Linked DNA regions of Anolis sagrei. The protein of the gene in region 2 purifies or fractionates together with the protein of the main gene of each other region. This does not show direct contact. Links are inferred from orthologs where the notes say so. Each region holds a gene or a part of one and is shown on either strand. Other genes may lie near its edges.

What was found. The genes of interacting proteins can lie anywhere in the genome.
Region 1: the proteins of CDK5 (region 2) and FIBP purify together in Homo sapiens (affinity purification with mass spectrometry; 7 studies listed by BioGRID and IntAct, counting the BioPlex papers as one, with this or other methods). This does not show direct contact. The link is inferred for Anolis sagrei from reciprocal best matches to the Homo sapiens genes CDK5 and FIBP.

The regions. Positions count from the first base shown.
Region 1 is NC_090032.1:10,255,823-10,266,080, forward strand, and holds the start of FIBP (acidic fibroblast growth factor intracellular-binding protein), read left to right. Parts: upstream 1-5,718; 5' UTR 5,719-5,798; coding exon 5,799-6,060; intron 6,061-8,180; coding exon 8,181-8,291; intron 8,292-10,258. Other genes in the region: DPF2 (zinc finger protein ubi-d4), read right to left, coding at 5,598-5,629. UniProt on the Homo sapiens protein: May be involved in mitogenic function of FGF1. May mediate with IER2 FGF-signaling in the establishment of laterality in the embryo.
Region 2 is NC_090026.1:133,782,632-133,792,450, reverse strand, and holds the start of CDK5 (cyclin-dependent kinase 5), read left to right. Parts: upstream 1-5,509; 5' UTR 5,510-5,628; coding exon 5,629-5,665; intron 5,666-5,766; coding exon 5,767-5,855; intron 5,856-6,002; coding exon 6,003-6,070; intron 6,071-9,819. UniProt on the Homo sapiens protein: Proline-directed serine/threonine-protein kinase essential for neuronal cell cycle arrest and differentiation and may be involved in apoptotic cell death in neuronal diseases by triggering abortive cell cycle re-entry. Interacts with D1 and D3-type G1 cyclins.

The sequences.
Region 1 (10,258 bases), on a different chromosome or scaffold from region 2:
TCAATTCCCCTAAATTCACCCACCAGTATTTTTCCAACAGTCATTTTGTACCTGATTTGTACAAAAGGAGTAAAAACAATTTAATTTTCCCCAAATGCTTTGATTCTGCCCACAAATGCTCTCGGTCCCACCTGCGTCACAACTCTGAACATGAGGAAGAACTTCCTGACTGTGAGAGCCGTTCAGCAGTGGAACTCTCTGCCCCCGAGTGTGGTGGAGGCTCCTTCTTTGGAAGCTGGATGGCCATCTGTCAGGGGTGATTTGAATGCAATATTCCTGCTTCTTGGCAGAATGGGGTTGGACTGGATGGCCCATGAGGTCTCTTCCAACTCTTTGATCCTATGATTCTAAGTACGTTTGGTAGGGACGAGAGACAGGGCCTTCTCAGTGGTGGCCCCTCAGCTGTGGAACGCACTTCCTATAGATATTAGATCGGCCCCCTCCCTGTTGACATTTCGGAGGAAAGTGAAGACCTGGTTGTTCGAGCAGGCATTTGAACAGACAGTGTAACGAACATAGGAATATGGAGCAATTGGATGATGAGACTGGATTTCAATCTGCGAATGAGATGTTTTATATTAACTGTATGCTACTGTTTTAATTGTTTTAAACTGTTTTATAATGTTTTTGAGCATTGAATTTTGCTTTTGTTAACCGCTCTGAGTCGCCCAAGGGCTGAGAAGAGCGGTATACAAATATAGTAAATAAATACAAGTTTCTCTACTACATTCTCCTTCCAATGTTCCGGCGTTTCTCAACCTGGGGGTCGCCAGAGACCATCAGAAAAATCAGTATTTTCTGTTGGTCATGGGGAGGGGAGGAGAAGAAGAAAAGAGAGAGGAAAGGATGAGAGGGAAAGCAACTGAAGAAAAGAAGAAAGTAAAAGAGAATGGGAGAAGGAATATGAAGGAAAGGAGGAAGGAAAAAGTAAAAGGAGACAAGAGAAAGGAAAGGAAGGAGGAAGACGGAGTAATGAGGGAAAGCAACTGAAGAAAAAAAGAAAGGAAGAGGGAGGAGAAGTGTTATGAAGGAAAGAAAAAAAAGGAAAGGAGTGAGGAAGAGGGAGTAATGAGGGAAAGCAACTGAAGAAAAGAAGAAATGAAAAGAGAGGAAAAGGAGTATGAAGAAAAGGCGGAAGGAAAGAGAAATTAGACATGAGAAAGAAAGAAGGGAAAGAAAGGAAAGAAGGAGAGGAGGTCTGAGGGAACTGAAGGAAGGAAGGAAGGAAGAGGGAGGAGGAGTATGAAGGAAAGGAGGAAGGAAAGAAAGAGAAAGAAGACATGAGAAGGGGGGAAGGGAAAGGAAGAAGGAGGTATGAGTGAAAGTAACTGGAGTCCCCTGGGAAGATAGGGCAGAATACAAACTATTATTATTATTATTATTATTATTATTATTATTATTATTATTTGAAACACAACAAGATGAGTTCACAGCAGACATTCCGATGGCTGTTGTATTGGATCACATGTCGGACACTTCCCAAGTGTCTAGGACTGTATGATGTATCAGCGAATAATGCGTGCAGATCCCAGTAAGGTGGCCTTCTGCAGCTGGCAGATGGTAATTTTGTCAGCACCAATTGTGTTTAAGTGCAGACCAAGGTCTTTAGGCACTGCAGCCAGTGTGCCGATCACCACTGGGACCACCTTGACTGGCTTGTGCCAGAGTCTTTGCAGTTGTTGTTGTTGTTATCATTATCATTATTATTATTATGGAAGGAAGGAAGGAAGGAAGGAAGGAAGGAAGGAAGGAAGGAAAAAAGGATGGAAAAGAGTAAGGCAGATGGAGTAATGAGAGAACACATCTGAAGAAAAGAAGAAAGGAAGAGGGAGGAGAAAGAGTATGGAGGAAAGGGGAAGGAAAGAAAAAGAAGAAGAGGAGGGAAGGAAGGAAGGAAGGAAAAGAGTGAGGCAGATGAAGTAAAGAGGGAACACATCTGAAGAAAAGAAGAAAGGAAGAGGGAGGAGAAAGAGTATGAAGGAAAGGGGAAGGAAAGAAAAAGAAGAAGGGGAAGGAAAGAAAGAAGAAGGAGGTAAGAGGGTAAGTAACTGAAAGAAGGGAGATAGAAAGAGCGATGAGAATGAGTATGAAGGAAAGATGAAAAGAAAGAAAGAAAAAAGCAGGAGAAAGGAAGGAAGAGAAAGAAAAGAAAGGTAGAAGAGGGGATATGAGGGAAAGCTAATGAAGGAAGGAATAAAAAAGAGAAGGAATATGAAGAAAGGGGGAAGAAAAGAAAAAGAAAGGAAGCAAAATGAAAGGAAAGAAGGGATAGGGAAGGCAACTAAAGAACAGAAAAGAGAGGGAGAAAAAGTATGAAGGGGAAGGAAAGAAAGAAAAAGAAGACAAGAGGAAGGAAGGAAGAGAAAGAAAGAAAGAGAGAAAGAAGGAAGAGGGGTTATGAGGGAAAGCAACTGATGAAAGGAAGAAAGGGAAAAGAGAAAGGGTATGAAGGAAAGAAAGAGAAAGGGCCCTTCCACACAGCCCTATATCCCAGAATATCAAGGCAGAAAATCACACAATATCTCCTTTGAACTGGTTTATCTGAATCCACACTCAGATAATGTGGAATTTTCTGCCTTGATATTCTGGGATATAGGGCTCTGTGGGAGGGCCCAAAGATGACATGAGAAAGGAAGGAAGGAGAGAAGAAAGGAGGTATTAGGGAAAGCAACTGAAAGAAGGAAGGAAAAGAAAGAGGGAGAAAGTATGAAAGGGGGAAGGAAAAAGAAAAAGTCAAGAAAAAGGATGAGAAAGGAAAGGAAGGAAGAAAAAGGAGGTATGAAAGAAAGCTACTGAAGGAAGGGGAGTGGAAAGAAAGAGAAATAAGACATGAGAAAGGAAGGAAGGAAGGAGAGGGAGGGAGGAAGGAAAGAAGGAAGGGAACCAACTGAATGAAGGGAAAGAGAGAGGGAGAAGGAGTATGAAGGAAAGGGAGAAGGAAAGGAAGAGAAAGAAGGCATGAGAAAAGAAGGAAGGAAGGAAGGAAGGAAGGAAGGAAGGAGAGGGAGGAATGAGGGAAAGCAAATGAAGGAAGGAAGGGAAAGAGAGGGAGAAGAAGTATGAAGGAAAGAGAGAAGGAAAGAAAGAGAAAGAAGACATGAGAAAAGAAGGAAGGAAGGAAGGAGGGAAGGAAGGGGAGGAAAGAGGGAAAGCAACTGAAGGAAGGGAAAGAGGGAGGAGAAGAAGTATGAAAGAGAGAAGGAAAGAAGGAGAAAGAAGACATGAGAAAAGAAGGAGGGAGGGAGGAAGAAGAGGGAAGGCTGAGGGAAAGCAACTGAAGGAAAGAATGGAAAGAGAGGGAGAAGAAGTATGAAGGAAAGAGAGAAGGAAAGAAAGAGAAAGAAGACATGAGAAAAGACGGAAGGAAGGAAGGAAGGAAGGAAGGAAGGAAGGAAGGAAGGAGAGGGAGGAATGAGGGAAAGCAACTAAAGGAAGGGAAAGAGAGGGAGAAGGAGTATGAAGGAAAGAGAGAAGGAAAGAAAGAGAAAGAAGACACGAGAAAAGAAGGATGGAGGGAAGGAGGGAGAGAAGGAAGGAAGGAAGGAGAGGGAAGAATGAGGAAAAGCAACTGAAGGAATGGAAAGAGAGGGAGAAGGAGTATGAAGGAAAGAGAGAAGGAAAGAAAGAGAAAGAAGACACGAGAAAAGAAGAAAGGAAGGAAGGAAGTAGAGGGAAGAATGAGGGAAAGCAACTGAAGGAAGGAAGGGAAAGAGAGAGGGAGAAGGAGTATGAAGGAAAGAGAGAAAGAAAGAAGGAGAAAGAAGACATGAGAAAAGAAGGAAGGAAGGAAGAGAGAGGAATGAGGAAAAGCAAATGAAGGAAAGATGGGAAAGAGAGAGTGAGTATGAGGTATGAAGGAAAGAGAGAAGGAAAAGAAGGAAGGAGGGAAGGAAGAAGACGGAGGAATGAGGGAAAGCAACTGAAGGAAGGAAGGCAAGGAGGGAGAAGAAGTATGAAGGAAAGAGAGAAAGAAGACATGAGAAAAGAAGGAGGGAGGGAAGGAGAGGGAGGAATGAGGGAAAGCAACTGAAGGAAGGGAAAGGGAGGGAGAAGAAGTATGAAGGAAAGAGAGAAGGAAAGAAAGAGAAAGAAGTCATGAGAAAAGAAGGAAGGAAGGAAGGAAGGAAGGAGAGGGAGGAATGAGGGAAAGCAACTGAAGAAAAGGTGGGGAAAAGAGAGAGGGAGAAGAAGTATGAAGGAAAGAGGGAAGGAAAGAAGGAGAAAGAAGACATGAGAAAAGAAGGAGGGAGGGAGGGAAGGAAGGAGAGGGAGGATTGAGGGAAAGCAACTGAAGGAAGGAAGGACAAGAGAGAGGGAGAAGGAGTATGAAGGAAAGGGAGAGGGAAGAAAGAGAGAGAAGACTTGAGAAAAGAAGGAAGGAAGGAGAGGGAGAAGAAGTATGAAGGAAAGAGAGAAGGAAAGAAAGAGAAAGAAGACATGAGAAAAGAAGGAGGGAGGGAGGAAAGAAGGAAGGAAGGAAGGCGAGGGAAGAATGAGGGAAAGCAACTGAAGGAAGGAAGGGAAAGAGAGAGAAGTATGAAGGAAAGAGAGAAGGAAAGAAAGAGAAAGAAGACATAAGAAGGAAGGCAGGAGGGAGAGGGAGGAATGAGGGAAAGCAACTGAAGGAAGGAAGGGAAGAGAGGGAGAAGAAGTATCAAGGAAAGGGAGAAGGAAAGAAAGAGAAAGAAGACATGAGAAAAAGGAAGGAATGACGGAAGGAAGGAGAGGGAGGAATGAGGGAAAGCAACTGAAGGAAGTAAGGGAAAGAGAGGGAGAAGAAGTATGAAGGAAAGAAAGAGAAAGAAGACATGAGAAAAAGGAAGGAAGGGAGGGAGGGAGGGGAGGGAGGAATGAGGGAAAGCAACTGAAGGAAGGAAGGGAAAGAGGGAGGGAGAAGTATGAAGGAAAGGGAGAAGGAAAGGAGAAAGAAGACATGAGAAAAGAAGGAGGGAGGGAAGGAGGGAGGGAGGGAGGAAAGAAGGAAGGAAGGAAGGAGAGGGAGGAATGAGGGAAAGCAACTGAAGGAAGGCAGGGAAAGAGAGAGGGCGAAGGAGTATGAAGGAAAGAGAGAAGGAAAGAAGGAGAAAGAAGACATGGGAAAAGAAGGAAGGAAGAAGGAAAGATGAAGGAAAGAGAGAAGGAAGGAAAGAAAGAGCTTCAAAGAAAAAGCAAACCCAGGCAATGCACACTTTAGTATACACCAACAACATCCCTTCCACCTCAGGACACCATTCATTGAGGTGGAGTTGTCCTTCCTCCATTCCTGAAGGCCTCCTTTTCCCTCAGGCCCGCCTCAAGTAACAAAAGTGTTATTTCCCTTCCACAAACCTTACTTTGGAAACTTTAAGGCACTGACTCACCTGTGTTTCTCTCCTCTGGCTCCACTATATCCTGCTCATATGTATCATAAACTTTAGGGCCAAACAATGAGAAGAAAAAAGACCCAACAACTCTCCTCCTTCTCCCTCAACAAAGATTTCCCCTTTCCCCCCTGCGAATGGAATGGGCCCGCCCTCTGCTCCCGCTTCGCAAAGGCTCGGGCTGTACCACTCCTGACGGAAAAGAGGGGGGAACACAAGAGGAAAATTTCCACTCACAGCTTCACCACATTCTGGACCACCGCCGCCATCTTGCCCGCCTCAACTGCGCCTGCGCGAACCGCCCGCTCGGGCTCTCATGAGGGATGCTCGCGCACGGCACGGCGCATGCGCTCCGTGGCTGCGCATGACCCTTCGCTGTTCCCAGCTCATGCTGTTCAATCCCGAGAACGGGGTGTAGTTTGTGTGCGCATGCGTTGAATGATCTCATTTTTTTTTACGCCACAGGAGGCTTCGACGGATGCCCTGAGCGACCAAAAAAAAGACAAGACTGCGTTTCGCTATGAATGCGGTTGGCTGTGGAATCTTAAGAGGAGAGGTTGCAGTGCCAGGAGCCAAGATGGCGCCTGGAGAGTGACACTCGGGGTCTGCGCATGCGTGAGCCCCAGTTTGGCCAGGAAGAGGGTCAAAAGGTCTTATTTACTACAGAGAAAGGTGGTGGTTGTGGTTGAGAGGAGAAAAGGTAAGGAGAGAGAGGGGCAGAATGTATTGTCGAAGGCTTTCATGGCCGGAATCACTGGGTTATTGTAGGTTTTTCCGGGCTATAAGGCCATGTTCTAGAGGCATTTTCTCCTGACATTTCGCCTGCATCTATAGCAAGCATCCTCAGAGGTAATGAGGTCTGTTGGAAGTAGGAAAAATGGGTTTATATATCTGTGGAATGACCAGGGTGGGACAAAGGACTCTTGTCTGCTGGGGCTAGGTGTGAATGTTGCAATTGGCCAGCTTGATTAGCATTCAATGGCTTGGAAGTGCCTGGGGGGAATCTTTTGTTGAGAGTGATTTTCTGTGCCTGTTTGTTTCCCCTCTGTTGTTTTGCTATTGTAATTTTAGAGTTTTTTTTAATACTGGTAGCCAGATTTTGTTCATTTTCATGGTCTCTTCCTTTCTGTTGAAATTGTCCTCATGCTTGTGGATTTCAATGGCTTCTCTGTATGATGGAAAGAGAGAAGGAAAGAAGGAGAAAGAAGACATGAGAAAAGGAGGGAGGGAGGAATGAGGGAAAGCAACTAAAGGAAAGATGGGAAAATAAAGAGGAACAGCTTTCATGTGATATTTTAGGAAAAGCTTGAAAACTTGGCTGTTCCACCTTGCTTTTGAGGAATGAACAATAATGCCATGCCTGTCCCAGTGTATACTCGTCCCCTTGATGCACTTCCTAGCAAGTAATTGGTCAGTCGTAAGGCCGAACAGGGAATAGGGTTACAGCCTGTGTTAGACGGGGTTACACTCCCCCTGAAAAAGCAGGTTCGCAGCTTGGGAGTGATCCTGGACTCATCGCTGAGCCTGGAACCCCAGGTCTCAGCGGTGGCCGGGAGAGCTTTTGCACAATTAAAACTTGTGCACCAGTTGCGCCCGTTCCTTGGGAAGTCTGATCTGGCCACAGTGGTCCACGCTCTTGTTACATCCCGAATAGACTACTGCAACGCGCTCTACGTGGGGTTGCCCTTGAAGACGGTTCGGAAACTTCAACTGGTCCAGCGAGCGGCAGCCAGGCTGCTCACTGGGGCGACATACAGAGAGCACACCACCCCTCTGCTGTGTCAGCTCCACTGGCTGCCGGTTCAGTTCCGAGCCCAATTCAAGGTGCTGGTCTTGACCTACAAAACCCTGTACGGGTCCGGTCCAGCGTATCTGTCCGAACGTATCTCCCTCTACGTCCCACCACGGAATTTAAGATCATCTGAGGGGGCCCTGCTCTCGACTCCACCGCTTTCCCAAGCAAGGCTGGTGGGGACGAGGAGCAGGGCCTTCTCAGTGGTGGCCCCCCACCTGTGGAACTCACTCCCAGTGGATATCAGGGCATCGACATCACTCCTGTCCTTTAGGAGAAAGGCAAAGACGTGGTTGTGGGACCAGGCCTTCGGGCAATCTGCTAACTAGATAGGACAACCAGGCAATTAGGACCGGCAGGACTGATATATGTGGACTGATAAATGTGGAAGAAAACTCTGAACCATGAGATAGCGAACACTGACTGCCAAGAAGGAAGAAGCGGTTTGTATCGGTTTGTATGAAATTTTATTGGTTTTATTGGTTTTAACGGGTTTAGATGCAATGTGTTGTTGTTGTTGTTGTTTGCTAATTTGTTATTTTGTTTTATTGCTTATTATTGATGTATGCTATGGGCATCAAATTGTGCCTTGGATGTGTAAGCCGCCCTGAGTCCCCTTCGGGGTGAGAAGGGCGGGGTAAAAGTAAACCAAATAAATAAATAAATAAATAAATAAACTCCAATGACATTGAACATCGAGAAAACCCAAGTGGTCTTCCAGCAGTCACCAGCCAATCCCTCTCCAATGCCAGGAATACAGCGTAACGGTGTAACGTTAGTAAATGTGGACCATTTCTGCTCTCTTGGCAGCCACCTCTCCACCAAGCAGTGCTTCTTATAAGTCAGAGTACAGTCCAGAGTAACTCCCAGGTATTTGGGTGTACTGCAGTGCTCCAGAGAGATTCCTTTCCAGGAAATCCTCAGAGCTTGAAACCTTTGATTGTGGGAGTTGAGGTCCAAAAAACCTGGAGGGATGAAGTTTGCCCATGCCTGATGTAAATGAATTATATTTTACCTTCCTTTTGCAGCTTCCTGTTCCATCTTCAGAGGCAACATGGCCAGCAATCTGGACATCTTCGTGGGGAACACTACTCTCATCGATGAGGAGGTCTACCAGCTCTGGCTGGATGGCTATTCAGGTGCGACAGGTGTCTCAGGTGTCTTTCTTTGTTTTGGGGCTATTTATTTATCGTGTCATCAGCAACTATACCATTATATTACAATTCTAACAGAACAAAACAAACACACAGATTAAAAAGAAAAGAAAAAAAAACACAGATTTTGCAAACTTGGTAGTTGGTTAAATGTCCTTTGACCAGTATCTGGCCACTTGGAGTGCCTCTGGGGTTGCCGCAAGAAGGTCCTCCATGGTGCATGTGGCAGGGCTCAAGGTGCCAGGTGGTCAGTGGTTTGCTCTTCTCCACACTCGCATGCCGAGGATTCCACCCTATAGCCCCATTTCTTAAGATTGGCTCTGCATCTCTGCAACTCTTATTATTTTCAGTAATAAATGGGTTACCTCCTGCTGTAAACATATGAGAATAGAGCATAAAGCCTTGATTGAATGATACCCACCAAACTGACCAAGGCTTAACCTTTGTTATCCAGCCTGGTGTCCTTGCCCTTAGCAAAACTATAAGTTACTATCTCTGGGGAGAGGGTGGGGGGGGGGGTCACGTTCGACTTCAGTTGTAAGAAGGTCCTCCATTGTCAGAGGTGGCCCTAGGTAATTTTCAATGGTAAGCAAACAGTATTCCCCCCCCCCCCCCAACCAATCACTGATATATATTTTCCTTTCATCGTGGGAGTTCTGTGTGCCATATTTGGTTCAATTCCATCATTGGTGGAGTTCAGAATGCTCTTTGATTGTAGGTGAACTATACATCCCAGTAACAACACATATGTCAAGGTCTATTTTCCCCCAAGAGCGCCCCTGTGCAAAATCAACTATGCCGCAAATGCTTACTTTGTGTAATGGGTTGAGCCGCCCCTGTCCATTGTGCATGTAGCGGGGCTCAGACTGCATTGGAGTAAGTGGTGTGTGGTTTGCACTTCTCCGCACTCGCATGCCGTGGATTCCACTTTGTGGCCCCATTTCTGAAGGTTGGCTCTGCATCTCGTGGTGCCAGAGCACAGTCTGTTCAGAGCCTTCCAAGTCGCCCACTCTTCTGAGTGCCCAGGGGGGAGTCGTTCATCTGGTATCACCCATGGATTGAGGTGCTGGGTTTGGGTCTGCCACTTTTGGACTCTCGCTTGCTGGGGTGTTCCAGCAAGTGTCTCTGTAGATCTAAGAAAACTATGTCTTGATTTAAGTCATTGACGTGCTGGCTGATACCCAAACAAGGGATGAGCTGGAGATGTCTCTGCCTTGGTCCTTTCACTATTGGCTGCTACTTCCCGGCGGATGTCAGGTGGTGCAATACCGGCTAAGCTGTGTAATTTCTCCAGTGGTGTAGGGCGCAGACACCCTGTGATAATGCGGCATGTCTCATTAAGAGCCACATCCACTGTTTTAGTGTGGTGAGATGTGTTCCACACTGGGCATGCGTACTCAGCAGCAGAGTAGCATAGTGCAAGGGCAGAGTTTTGGGGCTAAACCTGATCTCTCAATGTGGCCATATATTGCTTGGGAATTGCAGTCCAGCCCACCTTGAAGGCGCAAGGTCAAACAAGACTCATTGTGAAGCAAGATTTGCCTTAAAATACTCTTGGCTTTGGATTCCTGTATACACACACATACATACATATATATGTATATTTGTGTGTGTGTGATTTGATTGTATACTGTGTGTGTATATATATCTATATAAATAAAAATGTAATGTTCGTTTGTGGGATTCACAGAACTCAAAAACCACTGGACGAATTGACACCAAATTTGGACACAAGACACCTAACAACCCCATGTATGTCCTTCACTCAAAAAAAATGGTTTTGTCATTTGGAAGTTGTCGTTGCTGGTATTTATAGTTCACCTACAATCAAAGAACATTCTGAACTCCACCAATGATGTAATTGGGCCAAACTTGGCACACAGGACTTCCATGACCAACAGAAAACACTGGAAGGGTCTGGTGGACATTGACCTTGAGTTTGGAAGTTGTAG
Region 2 (9,819 bases):
CCTTTCCTTTCCCCCCTCAGCCGCTTAAGCGGCTGAGGGGGGAAAGGAAGGGGCCTGAGGCCAGGAATGGTGGGAGTTGAAGTCCAAAACACCTGCAGAGACCAAGTTTGACCACACCTGCCCTACAGGAACGTCAACAGGGAGGGATGTATGTCATTTGGGAGGACAGACTCAATGGAGCCGTGGGTGGAAACTTTGGGAAAAGGAAGGAATTTACTACTTCCCGGGACTGAGTCTACTGGAATCTCCTTCCTTGCAGGTTTGGAAGCAGAGGCTGCGTGGACGTCTGTCGGGAGGGATCGGATGGGGTCTTTTTGCCTGGGGAAATGGGTGGTACTAAGAAGGGGGTGGCGAGGGTAAACTTCAAGATGAATGGGCTCATTCATGTAATCCTAGAGTTGGAAGAGACCTGGTGGGCCACCCAGTCCAACTCCATAACACCTACCTCACACTGTGAGGCCTTCACACAGATTGAGAACTTTCTCCCACTGAGGTTTACCTCAGACTGACAGCTACTAAGCTATTAAGCTACAGCTTTTCATAGAATCCTAGAGTTTGAAGAGACTTGGTGGGCCATCCAGTCCAACCCCATCATGCCTTCCTCACACTGTGAGGCCTTCACACAGATTGAGAACTTTCTCCCACTGAGGTTTACCTCAGACGACAGCTACTAAGCTACAGGCACACCTGCTTATATAGAACTGTAGAATCATAGAATCATAGAATCAAAGAGTTGGAAGAGACCTCATGGGCCATCCAGTCCAACCCCCTGCCAAGAAGCAGGAATATTGCATTCAAATCACCCCTGACAGATGGCCATCCAGCCTCTGTTTAAAAGCTTCCAAAGAAGGAGCCTCCACCACACTCCGGGGCAGAGAGTTCCACTGCTGAACGGCTCTCACAGTCAGGAAGTTCTTCCTAATGTTCAGATGGAATCTCCTTTCTTGTAGTTTGAAGCCATTGTTCCGTGTCCTAGTCTCCAAGGAAGCAGAAAACAAGCTAGCTCCCTCCTCCCTGTGGCTTCCTCTCACATATTTATACATGGCTATCATATCTCCTCTCAGCCTTCTCTTCTTCAGGCTAAACATGCCCAGTTCCCTAAGCCGCTCCTCATAGGGCTTGTTCTCCAGACCCTTGATCATTTTAGTCGCCCTCCTCTGGACACTCTCCAGCTTGTCAATATCTCTCTTGAATTGTGGTGCCCAGAATTGGACACAATATTCCAGATGTGGTCTAACCAAAGCAGAATAGAGGGGTAGCATTACTTCCTTAGATCTAGACACTATGCTCCTATTGATGCAGGCCAAAATCCCATTGGCTTTTTTTGCCGCCACATCACATTGTTGGCTCATGTTTAACCTGTTGTCCACGAGGACTCCAAGATCTGTAGCTTTTCATAGAATCCTAGTTAGAAGAGACCTGGTGGGCCATCCCTTCCAACTCCATCAAGCCTCCCTCACACTGAGAGGCCTTCTCGCAGACTGAGACCTTACTCCCACTGAGGTTTACCTTAGACCGACAGCTACTAAGCTACTAAGCTACAGCTTTTCATGGAATCCTAGAGTTGGAAGAGAGCTGGTGGGCCATCCAGTCCAACCTCATAATGCCTACCTCACACCGTGAGGCCTTCTCACAGACTGAGACCGTTCTCCCACTGAGGTTTACCTCAGACCGACAGCTACTAAGCTATAGCTTTTCGTAGAGTCCTAGAGTTGGAAGAGACTTGGCCATCCAGTCCAACCCCATAATGCTTTCCTCACAGACTGAGACCTTTCTCCCACTGAGGTTTACCTCAGACTGACAGCTACAAGGTTACAGGCACACCTTCTTATATAGAAAGGCAGCTTTTCATAAAATCCTAGAAAGTTGGAAGAGACCTTTGGGCCAACCAGTCCAACCCCGTAATGCCTATCTCACACTGAGAGGTCTTCTCACAGAGTGAGACCTTTCTCCCACTGAGGTTTACCTCAGAACGACAGCTACTAACCTACAGCTTTTCATAGAGTCCTAGAGTTGGAAGAGACCTAGTGAGCCACCCATTCCAACCCCATAATGCTTTCCTCACACTGTGAGGCCTTCTCACAGACTGAGACCTTTCTCCCACTGAGGTTTACCTCGGACTGACAGCTACTAAGTTACAGGCACACCTGCTTATATAGAACTGCAGCTTTGTATACAATCCTAGAAGAGTTGGAAGAGACCTGGAGGGCCATCCAGTCCAACCCCATAATGCTTACCTCACACTGTGAGGCCTTTTCACAGACCTTTCTCCCACTGAGGTTTGCCTCAGACCGACATCTACTAAGCAATGGCACACATACTTATATATAATTGCAGCTTTGTATAGAATCCTATAGTTGGAAGAGACTTGGTGGGCCATCCTCGAGTCCAATCCCATTCTGCCAAGAAGCAGGGAAAGCACAATCAAACCATCCCTTACAGATGACCACTCAGCCTCTCCTTAAAAGGGTGGGTTCATTGTTGGTTTGTTTGTTTAAAAATGCAATACAACTGTGTTTTGCTCCTGACACGATAAATAAAAAAATTGCTGGACTTCCCTGGTGGGATGTCAAGCAGAGGCTGGGTGGCCATCTGTCGGGAAGGCTTTACCGAAGGAAAGAAGGAAGGAAAGAAGGAAGGAAAGGAGGGAAAGAAGGAAGGAAGGAAGGAAGGAAGGAAGGAAGGAAAGAAGGAAAGAAGGAAGGGAAAGAAGGAAGGAAGGAAGGGAAAGAAAGAAGGAAGGAAAGGAGGGAAAGAAGGAAGGAAGGAAGGAAGGAAGGAAGGAAGGAAGGAAAGAAGGAAGGAAAGGAGGGAAAGAAGGAAGGAAGGAAGGAAAGAAGGAAGGAAGGAAGGGAAAGAAAGAAAGAAGGAAGGAAGGAAGGAAGGAAGGAAGGAAAGAAGGAAGGAAAGGAGGGAAAGAAGGAAGGAAGGAAGGAAGGAAGGAAAGAAGGAAGGAAGGAAGGAAGGAAAGAAGGAAGGAAGGAAGGAAGGAAAGAAGGAAGGAAAGGAGGGAAAGAAGGAAGGAAAGGAGGGAAAGAAGGAAGGAAGGAAGGAAGGGAAAGAAAGAAGGAAGGAAGGAAGGAAAGAAGGAAGGAAAGGAGGGAAAGAAGGAAGGAAGGAAGGAAGGAAGGGAAAGGAAAGAAGGAAGGAAGGAAGGAAGGAAGGAAGGAAGGAAAGGAGGGAAAGAAAGAAGGAAGGAAGGAAGGAAGGAAAGAAAAGGAAGAAGGAAGGAAGGAAAGAAGGGAAAGAAAGAAGGAAGGAAGGAAGGAAGGAAGGGAAAGGAAGAAGGAAGGAAGGAAGGAAAGGAGGGAAAGAAGGAAGGAAGGAAGGAAGGAAGGAAAGAAGGAAGGAAAGAAGGGAAAGAAAGAAGGAAGGAAGGAAAGGAGAAAGGAAGAAGGAAGGAAGGAAGGAAGGAAAGAAGGGAAAGAAGGGAAAGAAGGAAGGAAGGAAAGGAAAGAAAGAAGGAAGGAAGGGGCGAGTCTGGATGCCCTTTGAGGGTCCCTCCTAGTTCCAAGATTCTTGAGAACTGGGGGGGGAGTGGGTGTGGGTGTGGGGTGGTTGCGCCATCCCTCGTGGGAAGGCAGGGGAGGGCGTGGCTAGGAGGGAGGGAGGGAGGGCCACGCCCAGAGGTTCCCAGGCTCCCTCCCAAGGCCTTGAGGGATGGGGGAGGATGGGGGTGTGGGGGTGAGTGGGATTTGCAGGGGTCCCCTGAGCATGTGCAGAGTGCCCTCTCGCTGGGATGCGCCCCTCCCTCCCTCTTTTCCACCTCTGGACGCAGGAGAGGCCGAAGGGAGGTCTGGGCCCCCTCCCCTCCTCTCCCCCAAGCCCCCCTCCCACTCTCAAAGCCCCTCCCTCCCTCTCTCAGTCACTCACTCACCAAGCAGGAGCGCCGCCGATGGAGGGAACCCCTTGCGTGCGTGCCTGCGCGTGCGCGCGCCCGCCTGCCTGCCTGCCTCACTCTGCCTGGCTGGCTTGGCCAGCTCTGGGCTTCAGGAAGGGCAGCGCATGCGCAAAGGGAAGGGAAGGAGGCGGGCAGGCCCAGGCCAGGCGCGCGCACGGAGGAGGAGGAGGGGACGGCGGACACGTGCGCGCCCCTAGAGGAGGGGGAGGAAGAGAGGGGAAAGGGGCGTGGCCACGTGAAGGGGGAAAAGAGGAGGAGCCAAGAGGAGGAGGCGGGGCAATAGTCATAATACTCTGTGGCAGGCCTGGGACTTTTTAGGGACTTGAGGAGGCGTGGCCACGTGGAGGAAAGGGGCGGAGCCAAGAAGAGGAGGCGGGGCAGTAGTCATAATAATAATAATAATAAAATAAAATAATAAATGTAATAAAATAATAATATAATAATAATAATACAATATAAAAATAACAAAATAATAATAATAATAAATGCAATAAAATAATAATATAAGAATAAAATATAATAATATAATAATAATAAAATAATAAATGTAATAAATAATAATATAATAATATAATAATAATAAAATATAAAAATAACAAAATAATAATAATAAATGCAATAAAATAATAATAAAATAATAAAATAAAATAATAAAATAATAGTAATAAAATAAAATAATAAATGTAATAAAATAATAATATAATAATAATATAATAATAGTAACAAAATAATAATAATAATAAATGCAATAAAATAATAATATAATAATAAAAAACATAATAATAATAATATAAAAATAAAATAATAAATGTAATAAAATAATATAATAATAAAAATAAAATATAATAATAATAAAAGTAATAAAATAAAATGATGAATGTAATAAAATACATTAAAATGATGAATGTAATAAAATAATAATATAATAATAATAAAATATAAAAATAACAAAATAATAAAAATAATAAATGCAATAAAATAATAATATAATAAAATAATAATAAAAAATAATAATAAATGTAATAAAATAATAATATAATAATAATAAAACATAATAATAATAATAATAATATAAAAATAAAATAATAAATGTAATAAAATAATATAATTATAAAAATAAAATATAATAATAATAATAAAGTAATAATAATAATAATAAAATAAAATGATGAATGTAATAAAATAATAATAATATAATAAAAATATAATATAATAATAATAATATAATAAAATAATGAATGTAATAAAATAATAATAATATAATAAAAATAAAATATATTAATAATAAAATAATATTAATAAAATAAAATAATAAAATGTAATACTAATAATAAATTATTATTATTATTACATTTTATTATTTTATTAAAGTTATTATTTTATTTTTATTACATTTATTATTTTATTCTTATTTGTTATTTTGTTATTAAATAATATTATTTAATATTATTTAATATTATTAATAATATTAATAATATTAGTAATAATATTAATAATGGCCACGCCTCCTCCCTCCCTATTAAATAATATTAGGGTTAGGGAGAGAGGCGGGGCCAAGAGGAGGAGGCGGGGCATCCCGATAAGCCCTCTGCAGCAGGCCTTGTGGCGCAGGGGCTGCCGGGAGGTGTAGTCTCCGCCCCTTTTTGCAGCCATTCAAGGCATGCTGGGAGTTGTAGTCTCCACCCGGTTGCAGAACACAGACAGAGAGAGACAGAGAGAGGGAGAAGATGCAGAAATATGAGAAGCTGGAGAAGATCGGGGAAGGTTTGTTTGGAGTGGGTGGGGGTCCCTCTTTGCATCTGCAGAAGGGGAGAGGAGGGGGCGTTCTTTGACCCCCCCCCCTGTGTCCCCCTCCCCCTTTTAAGGCACCTACGGGACCGTCTTCAAGGCCAAGAACCGCGAGACCCACGAGATCGTGGCCCTGAAGCGGGTCCGCCTGGACGACGACGACGAGGTGGGTGGGTGGGCTAGTTGGGGTGGGTGGGCTAGCGGTGGGCCCCCCTCCGCCTTCCCTTGCCCTTTTAACGCAGTCCCCAGGGAGGCGATGCGCGGGGAGCATGCGCAGAAGGACCCAGGCTGTGCTTCCTCCCTCGCCCTGCAGGGGGTGCCCAGCTCGGCCTTGAGGGAGATCTGCCTCCTGAAGGAACTCAAGCACAAGAACATCGTCAGGTGGGTCCCAGCTCGCCTCCTGATTGGTTCCCTGGCCCCTCGGGGGTTTGGGACTCCAACTCCCAGCATTCCTCGCAGCTTCACGCCCTTTCCTTTCCCCCCTCAACCCCACAATGCCTTCCTCACACTGAGAGGCCTCCTCACAGACTGAGACCTTTCTCCCACTGAGGTTTACCTCAGATTGACAGCTACTAAGCTACAGGCACACCTTCAGGGGTTTGGGACTCCAACCCCCAGCATTCCTTGCAGCTTCACACCCTTTCTTTTTCCCCCTCAAATCCATAATGCCTTCCTCACACTATGAGGCCTCCTCACAGACTGAGACCTTTCTCCCACTGAGGTTTACCTCAGATTGACAGCTACTAAGCTACAGGCACACCTTCAGGGGTTTTGGACTCCAACTCCCAGCATTCCTCGCAGCTTCACGCCCTTTCCTTTCCCCCCTCAACCCGATAATGCCTTCCTCACACTGTGAGGCCTCCTCACAGACTGAAACCTTTCTCCCACTGAGGTTTACCTCAGATTGACAGTTACTAAGCTACAGTCGCAGCTTCACGGCCTTTCCTTTCCCCCCTCAACCCCATAAGGCCTTCCTCACATTGTGAGGCCTCCTCACAGACTGAGTCCTTTCTCCCACTGAGGTTTACCTCAGACTGGCACCTACTAAGCTACAGGCACACCTTCAGGGGTTTGGGACTCCAACTCCCAGGATTCCTCGCAGCTTCACACTCTTTCCTTTCCCCCCTGTGAGGCCTCCTGACAGACTGAGACCTTTCTCCCACTGAGGTTTACCTCAGACTGACAGCTACTAAGCTACAGGCACTCCTTCAGGGGTTTGGGACTCCAACTCCCAGCATTCCTCGCAGCTTCACGCCCTTTCCTTTCCCCCCTCAACCCCATAATGCCTTCCTCACACTGAGAGGCCTCCTCACAGACTGAGACCTTTCTCCCACTGAGGTTTACCTCAGATTGACAGCTACTAAGCTACAGGCACACCTTCAGGGGTTTGGGACTCCAACCCCCAGCATTCCTCGCAGCTTCACGCCCTTTCTTTTTCCCCCTCAAATCCATAATGCCTTCCTCACACTATGAGGCCTCCTCACAGACTGAGACCTTTCTCCCACTGAGGTTTACCTCAGATTGACAGCTACTAAGCTACAGGTACACCTTCAGGGGTTTGCACTCCAACTCCCAGCATTCATCGCAGCTTCACGCCCTTTCCTTTTCCCCCTCCACCCCACAATGCCTGTGTCACACTGTGAGGCCTCCTCACAGACTGAGAGCTTTCTCCCACTGAGGTTTACCTCAGATTGACAGCTACTAAGCTACAGGCACATCTTCAGGGGTTTGGGACTCCAACTCCCAGCATTCCTCGCAGCTTCACGCCCTTTCCTTTTCCCCCTCAACCCCATAATGCCTTCCTCACACTGAGAGGCCTCCTCACAGACTGAGAGCTTTCTCCCACTGAGGTTTACCTCAGATTGACAGCTACTAAGCTACAGGCACATCTTCAGGGGTTTGGGACTCCAACTCCCAGCATTCCTCGCAGCTTCACGCCCTTTCCTTTCCCCCCTCAACCCCACAATGCCTTCCTCACACTGAGAGGCCTCCTCACAGACTGAGACCTTTCTCCCACTGAGGTTTACCTCAGATTGACAGCTACTAAGCTACAGGCACACCTTCAGGGGTTTGGGACTCCAACCCCCAGCATTCCTTGCAGCTTCACACCCTTTCTTTTTCCCCCTCAAATCCATAATGCCTTCCTCACACTATGAGGCCTCCTCACAGACTGAGACCTTTCTCCCACTGAGGTTTACCTCAGATTGACAGCTACTAAGCTACAGGCACACCTTCAGGGGTTTTGGACTCCAACTCCCAGCATTCCTCGCAGCTTCACGCCCTTTCCTTTCCCCCCTCAACCCGATAATGCCTTCCTCACACTGTGAGGCCTCCTCACAGACTGAAACCTTTCTCCCACTGAGGTTTACCTCAGATTGACAGTTACTAAGCTACAGTCGCAGCTTCACGGCCTTTCCTTTCCCCCCTCAACCCCATAAGGCCTTCCTCACATTGTGAGGCCTCCTCACAGACTGAGTCCTTTCTCCCACTGAGGTTTACCTCAGACTGGCACCTACTAAGCTACAGGCACACCTTCAGGGGTTTGGGACTCCAACTCCCAGGATTCCTCGCAGCTTCACACTCTTTCCTTTCCCCCCTGTGAGGCCTCCTGACAGACTGAGACCTTTCTCCCACTGAGGTTTACCTCAGACTGACAGCTACTAAGCTACAGGCACTCCTTCAGGGGTTTGGGACTCCAACTCCCAGCATTCCTCGCAGCTTCACGCCCTTTCCTTTCCCCCCTCAACCCCATAATGCCTTCCTCACACTGAGAGGCCTCCTCACAGACTGAGACCTTTCTCCCACTGAGGTTTACCTCAGATTGACAGCTACTAAGCTACAGGCACACCTTCAGGGGTTTGGGACTCCAACCCCCAGCATTCCTCGCAGCTTCACGCCCTTTCTTTTTCCCCCTCAAATCCATAATGCCTTCCTCACACTATGAGGCCTCCTCACAGACTGAGACCTTTCTCCCACTGAGGTTTACCTCAGATTGACAGCTACTAAGCTACAGGTACACCTTCAGGGGTTTGCACTCCAACTCCCAGCATTCATCGCAGCTTCACGCCCTTTCCTTTTCCCCCTCCACCCCACAATGCCTGTGTCACACTGTGAGGCCTCCTCACAGACTGAGAGCTTTCTCCCACTGAGGTTTACCTCAGATTGACAGCTACTAAGCTACAGGCACATCTTCAGGGGTTTGGGACTCCAACTCCCAGCATTCCTCGCAGCTTCACGCCCTTTCCTTTTCCCCCTCAACCCCATAATGCCTTCCTCACACTGTGAGGCCTCCTCACAGACTGAGACCTTTCTCCCACGGAGGTTTACCTCAGATTGACAGCTACTAAGCTACAGGCAAACCTTCAGGGGTTTGGGACTCCAACTCCCAGCATTCCTCGCAGCTTCACGCCCTTTCCTTTTCCCCCTCAACCCCATAATGCCTTCCTCACACTGTGAGGCCTCCTCACAGACTGAGACCTTTCTCCCACTGAGGTTTACCTCAGACTGGCAGCTACTAAGCTACAGGCACACCTTTGGGGGTTTTGGGCTCCAAGTCCCAGCATTCTTCGCAGCTTCACACCCTTTCCTTTCCCCCTGTGAGGCCTCCTGACAGACTTTCTCCCACTGAGGTTTACCTCAGACTGGCAGCTACTAAGCTACAGGCACACCTTCAGGGGTTTGGGACTCCAACCCCCAGCATTCCTCGCAGCTTCACGCCCTTTCCTTTCCCCCTGTGAGGCCTCCTCACAGACTGAGACCTTTCTCCCACTGAGGTTTACCTCAGATTGACAGCTACTAAGCTACAGGCACACCTTCAGGGGTTTGGGACTCCAACTCCCAGCATTCCTCACAGCTTCACGGCCTTTCCTTTTTCCCCTCAACCCCATAATGCCTTCTTCACACTGTGAGGCCTCCTCACAGGCTGAGACCTTTCTCCCACTGAGGTTTACCTCAGATTGGCAGCTACTAAGCTACAGGCACACCTTCAGGGGTTTTGGACTCAAACTCCCAGCATTCCTCGCAGCTTCACGCCCTTTCCTTTCCCCCCTCAACCCCATAATGCCTTTCTCACACTGTGAGGCCTTCTCACAGACTGAGACCTTTCTCCCACTGAGGTTTGCCTCAGACTG